2 linked regions of the Schizosaccharomyces pombe genome follow. The main gene of each other region encodes a partner of the protein of the gene in region 2 in a complex. Each region holds a gene or a part of one and is shown on either strand. Other genes may lie near its edges.

The links.
Region 1: tif223 (region 2) and tif222 share a complex: the UniProt entries of both Schizosaccharomyces pombe proteins name them as parts of the translation initiation factor 2B (eIF2B) complex.

What each region holds. Positions count from the first base shown.
Region 1 is NC_003424.3:1,671,455-1,675,746, reverse strand, and holds tif222 (translation initiation factor eIF2B beta subunit), read left to right. Parts: upstream 1-2,070; 5' UTR 2,071-2,091; coding exon 2,092-2,305; intron 2,306-2,357; coding exon 2,358-2,748; exon of another isoform or gene 2,749-2,766; intron 2,767-2,794; coding exon 2,795-3,371; 3' UTR 3,372-3,550; downstream 3,551-4,292. Other genes in the region: tit1 (tRNA isopentenyltransferase), read right to left, coding at 496-1,800; glutamyl-tRNA amidotransferase beta subunit Gta2, read right to left, coding at 3,676-4,292. UniProt on the Schizosaccharomyces pombe protein: Acts as a component of the translation initiation factor 2B (eIF2B) complex, which catalyzes the exchange of GDP for GTP on the eukaryotic initiation factor 2 (eIF2) complex gamma subunit.
Region 2 is NC_003424.3:5,365,507-5,370,185, forward strand, and holds tif223 (translation initiation factor eIF2B gamma subunit tif223), read left to right. Parts: upstream 1-1,898; 5' UTR 1,899-2,041; coding exon 2,042-2,190; exon of another isoform or gene 2,191-2,259; intron 2,260-2,314; coding exon 2,315-2,585; exon of another isoform or gene 2,586-2,708; intron 2,709-2,711; coding exon 2,712-3,153; exon of another isoform or gene 3,154-3,194; coding exon 3,195-3,337; intron 3,338-3,408; coding exon 3,409-3,780; 3' UTR 3,781-3,872; downstream 3,873-4,679. Other genes in the region: amidophosphoribosyltransferase Ade4, read right to left, coding at 1-455; SAGA complex subunit Spt20, read right to left, coding at 4,674-4,679. UniProt on the Schizosaccharomyces pombe protein: Acts as a component of the translation initiation factor 2B (eIF2B) complex, which catalyzes the exchange of GDP for GTP on the eukaryotic initiation factor 2 (eIF2) complex gamma subunit.

The sequences.
Region 1 (4,292 bases), 3.7 Mb from region 2:
ATCTCACCACTGTCCATTAAGACTGATTTTATATCGATATGACGTTGCGTTATTACGCCTTAAACCCTTTTTAACATGGTATTTGTCGACCGGCACTAAAATGCTGCGTAATGCTTCACTAATCGATCTTGGTATGTACAATCCTAAACGTAGCTTAATTCTAGTGTTAAATTGTTTATAACTTAGTCACAGAGAAACTGAAAATTCACGAGCATTACCCTTGTAGTATTAATCTAAAGAAGTAAAATCTTTGCTATGGAATCCTCTGTCGTCTCTCCATTCTTGAAGGTTTCAAGCATGATTATTCAGACTAGTTCGTAGCATGCGTATATAATAATAAATTTCACTATTAGCTTACAAGTTAACGCTCTAAATCTGGATAAATAAACACTGTGCATCCATCTTGAATACTTCAATAATGACCATTCTCCATAGCTTTTTATGACTTATATTATGAACATGACCAAAAATATAATAATAAATACAATATGGACTTCATTTTAAAATTCCAATGTTTTTTAAACGAATTTGACGCTCAGCTCTTTCTTTTTTACGTCGCACCGTGGTTTTATGCTTCCTACTTTTAATATGGACATTGAACGCATCTTCTCCTATTACAGTGAATGGATCACCCCGCTTGTCTAAACATTCCTCGCAAACGAACTTCTTTTTCTGAGATTGGCGACCGTTCATTATGGAGAGATAATCTCTGGCTTTTTCGAAAGCGTGCTGATCATCAGCAGATGGAGCAATGGCATCGCCATTATAAAAAAAATATTGAAATACTCTACAAGCCTTTTCAACTTGCTCTTCCCAATTGTTCAAGTCCGTAGTGTTTGTGGTGGAAAATAGAATTGAAGAAGGGGATAAATCTTGTTGAGCCAAACACATCGGGAGGAATCGACTTTGGATCCATTTCTTCTGAGATTTTGCATACTGTCTAGTAGAAACCTTCATTCGTTCTAAACAATCATTAAAGACTATATCCGAAGGCGCTTCAAACCATGGCATGAATTCTTTAAATCCAATACATTGCCAAATCCCACGGGTGAAATCAGGAGAAAATTTTTCACTTTCAGCAAGACTCTTCATGCTTTTTATTTCATCAACCAATCCATGGCTTAGCATTTTGTCAACACGTTTATCAAGTCGCGGCATTAAGACTAAAGAATCTGCGAACGCCCAAAATATTAGAGATTTGTATCGAAGTTTAGAGCCACTTGACTTCATTTTTTGCTCAGAATAAATTTCAGATGGCGGTCGACCGGTGTGAAAATATATCTCTAGGCTTCTTCGAATTTTACGAGTATCCCGAGGATGCCATTGCTCAGCCATCACGGGATCTATCTTTTTTAAATACGAAAGCATAGCAGATGGATCATCATCCAAGATATGAGAGTCCGGATGGGGTGGCTTACTAGGTGATGAATCGTTCGTCAATTTATCAATAGCCGACAAAGTAGTATCTTCAAACAAAAGGGACTGCAAATAATAATGAGTCCCTCCAACCACAATAGGTATCTTTCCTTGACTGTGAATCTCGTCAATTACGCGGGAGGCATCTCGTTCAAACTCGGGAACACTGTATTCTTTGTCAAAGTTCAAGAAGGACATCAAGCGATGATGAACATTCTCTTGCTCTTCCACAGTAATTTTATTGGTTATAGTATCAAATCCCCGATAAATTTGCATCGAGTCAGCATTAATGACTTGGCTTCCAAACCGTTTCGCCAGCTGAACTGCTAAATCCGACTTACCAGCTCCTGTAGTACCGATGACAACGCAAAGGGGCTTTAACATTTTATAAGATATAGATTTTTACCTTATCTTCAATAGATTACACACCGAATCAAGCTTAGACTAACAAATCCATTTCCCAAATTTTCCCAAGCAAGCCTGGCTCTTTACCAACTGATTTTACCTTACATTTTGTTTTGGTTCACTATCCCCGTTCCTTTATTGCGGCGTCAACTTCGGTATATGCTTTAACGATGTTTTAATTACTGTAAACAAGTTATTACATTTTTACAGCGTTCGTATTTGTTCGTTATTAACATGTAAACACTACTTGTCGTTTCCCATCGCCTGAAAATGTCAACTATTAATGTTGAACATACCTATCCGGCTGTAAGTAGCTTGATAGCAGACTTAAAGTCAAGAAAGGTACAAGGCCCCTTTGCAGTTGCCGTTGAAACGGCGCTGGTAATGAGACAAGTGATTTCTCAAACTCGCTGGTCAACAGTTGATCAATTAATTGATACAGTCCGTGCTGTTGGATCTACTCTTGTCAAGGCTCAACCTACTGGTATGTATTTTGAATCATATTCTTTTATTGTGTTACATGCTAAACCGTGAAGAATTTTCTTGTGGAAATATTATTAGAAGAATTTTACGCTTAATCCGCGAAGAATATCAAGAATTATTAAAGACTGCTGATGAAAATGAGAAGTTAATCGTTTCTTCATCGAACTCTTCTAGCCCTTCTCAAAAAAGAGACATTCCCTCTAACGAAAAATTGGTTCAAAGTCACGAACCTGTTTCAGTTCAGATGTACTCTTCTATGCTTAATTTATTAGGTCGTCCTACTCTTGAGTCTCCCACACATAGTAAAACCGTCGGTGACAGTAGGGTCACCGGTGGCATGGATATGCGCGCTGTGATCATATCTGGCATCCAAGATGTAATCGATGAGTTGGACAAGATTAATACTGATATTGAAGTTCAATCAATGGACCATTTGCATTCAAAGTATGGTGTCATGCTAAACATCTTATCAGTTAGCTAACCTTTTTAGTGAAATTATTTTAACTCAGGGTTGCTCAAAAACTGTTGAAGCTTTTCTCCGTTTTGCCGCAAAGAAACGCAAATTTTCAGTGATTGTTGCAGAAGGATTTCCCAATAACCAAAAAGGTTCTCATGCCATGGCAAAGCGATTAGCTCAGGCTGGTATTGATACAACTGTTATATCTGATGCTACGATTTTTGCAATCATGTCACGCGTGAATAAAGTTATACTTGGTACGCATGCAATCTTGGGTAACGGAGGATTGGTAACCTATAGTGGAGCCCAATTAGTTGCTCAGGCTGCCAGGCACCATGCTACTCCCGTAGTGGTGTGTTCGGGTATTTATAAGCTTAGCCCTGTTTACCCTTATGACTTAGAATCCATTATCCAACTGTCTTCACCTGATAAAATTATGTCCTTTAATGAAGGTGATCTAATAAGCCGCGCTGAAATTTTAAACCCTTACTATGATTACATCCCACCAGACCTAGTAGATCTGTTTATTACCAATTTGGGTGGCTATCCTCCTTCCTACCTTTATCGTATTATGAATGATACTTATGATGCAAGCGATACAATTCTTTAAAGAGTTTGCATTCTATTTTCTCTTGGAAAATTGATTACCTATTAAATCAAGTTTATCAAATTTCTTTACACGTGTTTAGGTAAATATTAAAATTTTGGAATAAATAACATGGGTTACATTAGATTGAATTTTTTTAACTGTGGGTTTCTGTTGCAAGTAATACAGGCAATTAACTCAGCAAAATAAAACTTTGAAATTAAAGTAAATGGACTATGAATTTTAACGAGTTTCCTTTCATTGTCTAATGATTTGAAATATGCAGTAATTAAAAAAACTAGGGCCACTAATATACAAACCAATTTGATTACTTTTCCCTTCGTAAACTGCTTTGCACTTCCATCTCAATGTCTTTGGGACTTGCTTGTCCTCGAAGCTCTCTCATCGTAAGGCCAACAAACCACTTTATAAGGGAAGTTTTACCATTTTTCAACTCTTCAAATTGTTTTGAATGTTTACTAAGAACACTTTCTACACAAGCTTTTATTTTCTCGGAATCGCCAATGGTACCAAAATTTTTTTCTTGGATGAGAGTAGATATAGGTTTCGATGAAGGTGATTTTATCAATGAACGAAGGAAGAGTTTAGCAGATGCAGCTGTAAGTTTCTTCTTGGAAACAAGAAGTACAATGTCAGCCAATTGCAAAGGAGGAACGATATTGATGTTAGGGGAAGGGTCAATTTCACGAACTTTTCCTACTAGTTCCACAGTGATCCAGTATGGAAGGGTACGTAAAGCATCCTCTTTCAAAGATTGATTTACATGGCTTATAGAATCGATATGGTGGTACGCATTTCTGTAGTAGTGATAGTATTCCTTCACACTTAATAATGTACGGGCCTCTTTATGACTAATGGCATGAGAACCCGTTGTAAGCTTTTGGAAAAGTTCGTCAGGCAGAGCAGGTAATGATTTTAAGACAG
Region 2 (4,679 bases):
TTTATACGAAATTTATCCAACCGTTGAAGCTCGTAAGCAAAGATGTTAAGCAAAAGCTCAGAATCAGATCCAGTGTTTACATGACGATGGGCCTCAGTGTCCAAAAAGCGTCGTAATTCGGGTCCATTAATTAAATTACCATTATGGCCCAACACAAGACCATAAGGAGAGTTAACATAAAAGGGTTGTGCTTCAGAGTGAGCACAACTTCCAGCAGTAGGATAGCGCAAATGACCAATACCCATACTACCTACGAGTTGGCGAAGTTGATGCTGACTAAAAACATCGGCAACCATGCCGGATCCCTTGCATTGGTAAAGACGACCTTTGTTTCCAGCGGTTACAATACCGGCGGCATCTTGACCCCGATGCTGCAAACTGTAAAGACCCTCATAAATTTCAGGACATGCCTGTTGATGAGGGTCAGCAAGCATTAACGCCAAAATTCCGCACATTTTCTAAAACTTGTTAGAGCTTCGGTTGTGAATTGAATACAAAAGATAATAAAATGATAGGTTTAAATGTACAAAAGAAAAAACAGCACCCAGTCAAATTGCTATAACTTGATTAAAATAATATGAGTCGGACTGTTCTATTCGGACAGCAATCAAAGTTTGAGAATACTTGGAATATAATTTCAATTTTTTTGTACCGACCGTAAAATGAGTTGTATGTTACCATCACAGAAAATAAAAAATTTTAATCAATTAAGCAGACCTCAGAAAACCTTGTAGCTACATAAGATGAAATTCAGAAGTCTAGCATCTAAATAAACGGTAATCATCATAGGCAAGTACTGCGGCGTTGGAAAATCAATATCTATATTAACTTACTTTTTAAAACGCGTACGAAACAAAAAAAAAAAGATTTTCAGGTACGCGCTGAACAAACACCGTAGTTGGGTATATTGTTAAGGCAAAATTTTGCTGCCGTATAAATTAATTTATTGTCCGCCTTAAATGATAGTGAAGTATGAGTCGAAACTATGACTGCTCAAGATTGTGATGAACGATTCGCTAAATAGAAGCTTAAAGAGAGGTGGGATATGCGCACGTTAATATAGGTAACAGGTATAGCTTGCTACTTAGCTGACAGGGTAGATGATATTAAATTGTTTGCTATTTTTGTTGCCAAAAAAAATTTTTTAAGCTTAAAAATATATCTTTAAATAAAACCTTCTTATATCAAAAAAAATTCGATGAAGTTAAGAGTGGTGCAGTGTTACAGTAATGCCGCATACACATCAACTTATTATTGAGCTTTACCGGAGGTATCCCATTACTATTTATTTGTTATAAAATCTTTCAATGTTCTGGTTTTTCTTCCTTCTTTACTCGGTAGTTAACAACAATACATTAATCACCGAGATGAGAGCTATGGGTAATCTAATCCAAAACTTTTAGTTCAACTTGTTACGATTGCAGTAGTCCAATGGTTTTTAAACTTAAAAAACTAATGAAAACAATACACAATGTACTGTATCTCTAATCTTCTGATTCCTCAAAATAATAGTTTACTAACCGGCTTCAAATATTTGTTCCTTAATTGGTGTACAGAGGATCATTTTCTGAGCGCTTGATTGATATTTTTTACTATCGGATTGATTATAAACCAGGATCGCGAAAACGTACCGATTTATAAATCGTTGATTATTAAAACATCTTTTTTAATATTGCACATTAAACAAAATTACAAGTGCAAAGCAATAATTAGTTTTCAAGCAGCTCCACATTTTGAGTTGGTAAATCATTTTAAAAAAAAATCATCAATAGTTCATATTTCATGAATACATTTTTCTAAACACAAATATAAATTCAGCACATTTTTATTTCAGATAGTGATGTGTAACGTGTAAACTTTTGGCTCGTTAGTAGGGATCTAGGAAAGTAAGGTTTTCCATCTTCATCAAATATTGGCGTACTGCAAAAAAACCCAATAATTCGTCTTCTATCAGGTTATAAAAGATTTTGGCTTCAAAGCATCCTTTTAGGTAAAAACCTTTTGTAAAAGCATCCAACGCCTTGAAGAACAACATCTCACAATGTCGTTGTATGAGCATGCTGCACTTCCTTTAGCCAGTAGCCCTTCAATCCTTGGACCTATTTCTGGTGGACGAAATCGGGGGAATATTCAATTACAGTCTATTCCGATTGAATTTCAAGCTGTTGTTTTTGCAGGATTTGGCAATAGGTAAAACAAACAAGTGTAGTACTGACTACTTAACGATTTGGATAATGATGACTTCGCACATATTATCTTCATCAACACTTAAAAAAGATAAAATAACAATAAGAAAATACTAACCATGTTTTAGTTTATATCCTTTGACTGGAAGCGATGCACTTCCCAAGGCTTTATTACCTATCGGCAATAAACCGATGCTTCACTACCCATTATATTGGCTTGAAGCTGCTGGATTTACTTCTGCTATTCTTATTTGCATGGAAGAAGCGGAAGCCCATATCAATGCTTGGTTACGATCTGGCTACGAGGGACATATGCGTATTCACGTGGAAGCACCGACTATTTTAGATGATTCTAAAAGCTCTGCCGATGCTCTTCGTGCTGTATCCCATCTTATAAAGGTATGATTTATTTTTATGTATAAGTAGATATGCATGTGTTCTTAGACTTTTTGATCTTTTCTCTCTCATTCTGCAATTTAATTACTCGTCTTAAAGTCACAAAAAATGCTAACCGATACCCACCAGAATGACTTTGTGTGTCTCAGTTGTGATAGTATAGTTGGTCTCCCTCCCATATACGGTTTGGATAAGTTTCGCCTTGATAACCCTTCAGCACTGGCTGTATATAGTCCAGTGTTAAAATATGAGCATATTACAAGTCAATCTAAAGAGATTGATGCAAAACAACTGATTGGAATTGAAGAGAAGACGAGCAGACTATTGTATGCCAAAAGTTCCGCAGACGTGGGCAGTGATTTTACATTTAGAATGTCTTTGTTGTGGAAACACCCAAGGGTTACGTTAAATACAAACCTTTCGGATGCCCATATATTTGTATTTAAACACTGGGTTATTGATTTGATCCGGGAGAAAGAATCTATTTCTAGCATTCGTGGAGATCTCATCCCGTATCTTGTTAAATGTCAATATCAGAAATCCTTTACTGTACGAGAGAACATTCAAAGATGTAAGTGCTTTTTTTAATTAACTATTTTCTAACAATTAAAGTTTTGTCATCTCCTAACAATATTGATAATTATGATGGGGGATTATCCTCACAGGAAATTAAAATTAATGCTTTAATTGCCAAAGATGGGATTATTTGTTCTAGGGCTAATAATTTACCTAACTATTTCGAACTTAATAAATGCGTATGTTTTCGAAAGCTGAGCTTCATCTCGCTTTTTAGCAGTTTCATCCAATATCTCTAACAGCAAACTAGATCGCCAAACTTACTCCAGAACAACGCCTTGTAGATGTCACCGTGTCCGAAAGAGCACTGGTCGGTGCCGATTGTATGGTGAATGAAGGTACCACCATTAAGGATAACAGCAACATTAAAAAGAGCATTATCGGTAAAAATTGTGTAATTGGAAAAGGGGTAGTGGTCAGCAACTCTATTTTGATGGACAACATTGTTGTTGAAGACGGAGTACGTTTAGAATCTTGCATAGTCGCCTCAGGTGCTCAAATAGGCGCTAAGTCAAAACTTCGTGAATGCGAAATTGGCGTTGATCATCGCGTTGAAGCTGGCCGTATCGCTCGGGGTGAGCGGCTGGTTGATATGGAAAAAATTGAGACGGACATGGACTAATACTGTGTATCAAACCGTTGTCAGCCAACCTTTTTTTTGAAATAGATATAATAAAAATTTCGTGCACTTACTCTACAAAGTGTGTCTAAACTAATCAAGGTAAAGGTGATATTAGTCAGGAATTTTTAGATTAAAAATATATACTCATAGATCAATATTAGCTAAAAGCGAAGGGGAATAAATTACAGATGAAAACGCATGTACATATATATGCAAAAAAGTTATACATATATACAAGGTTATACACATATACATCTAAAAAAGTTCATATCGCTATGGGTTAGTAATAACTCGAAAATATTTAAAACAAATAAAATAACCAAAAACTTTAGCACTCAGCGATCTTGGTGATAATAAAAGAATCATTTATTGATCATAAGCAAATATTTCATCAATTGCAAAGCAGAACGGTTATTTGTTTTGAAAATTAAATTGCCTTACCTAACGTTCATAAAAAACAGGACGTTCTTTAACTCCATTATTATAATATTTAAAACTTAAAACAGTTAGCAAGGTATTCGTATTAACAAAAGCAGTTGATGTAATGGAAATCAATCAGAAGATTATTTGTCGCATACTGATGGAGCCCATATGGGAATCAGGCAAGATCCCGAGCAATACCATCGCTCAATCGCAAATTATAGTCATCATACAAAAATATCCAAATAACATATTAATTTTACTTACCTAAAACTGGGTGTTATTAGAAACAGCTACATTACATATCTCACACTGGTAAGTGAAAACGCCAAGTTGTTCCATGAGCAAAAAAGTTTTTATAGAGGAAAATGAAGTGAAGTAAAAAAACGTATTTATGCAACAAAAAAAATAAAATTTTAAAAATAATAAATAAAAAACTAAATTCGTGTATTAAATGATGAAGCATTTGAGAGTTACCT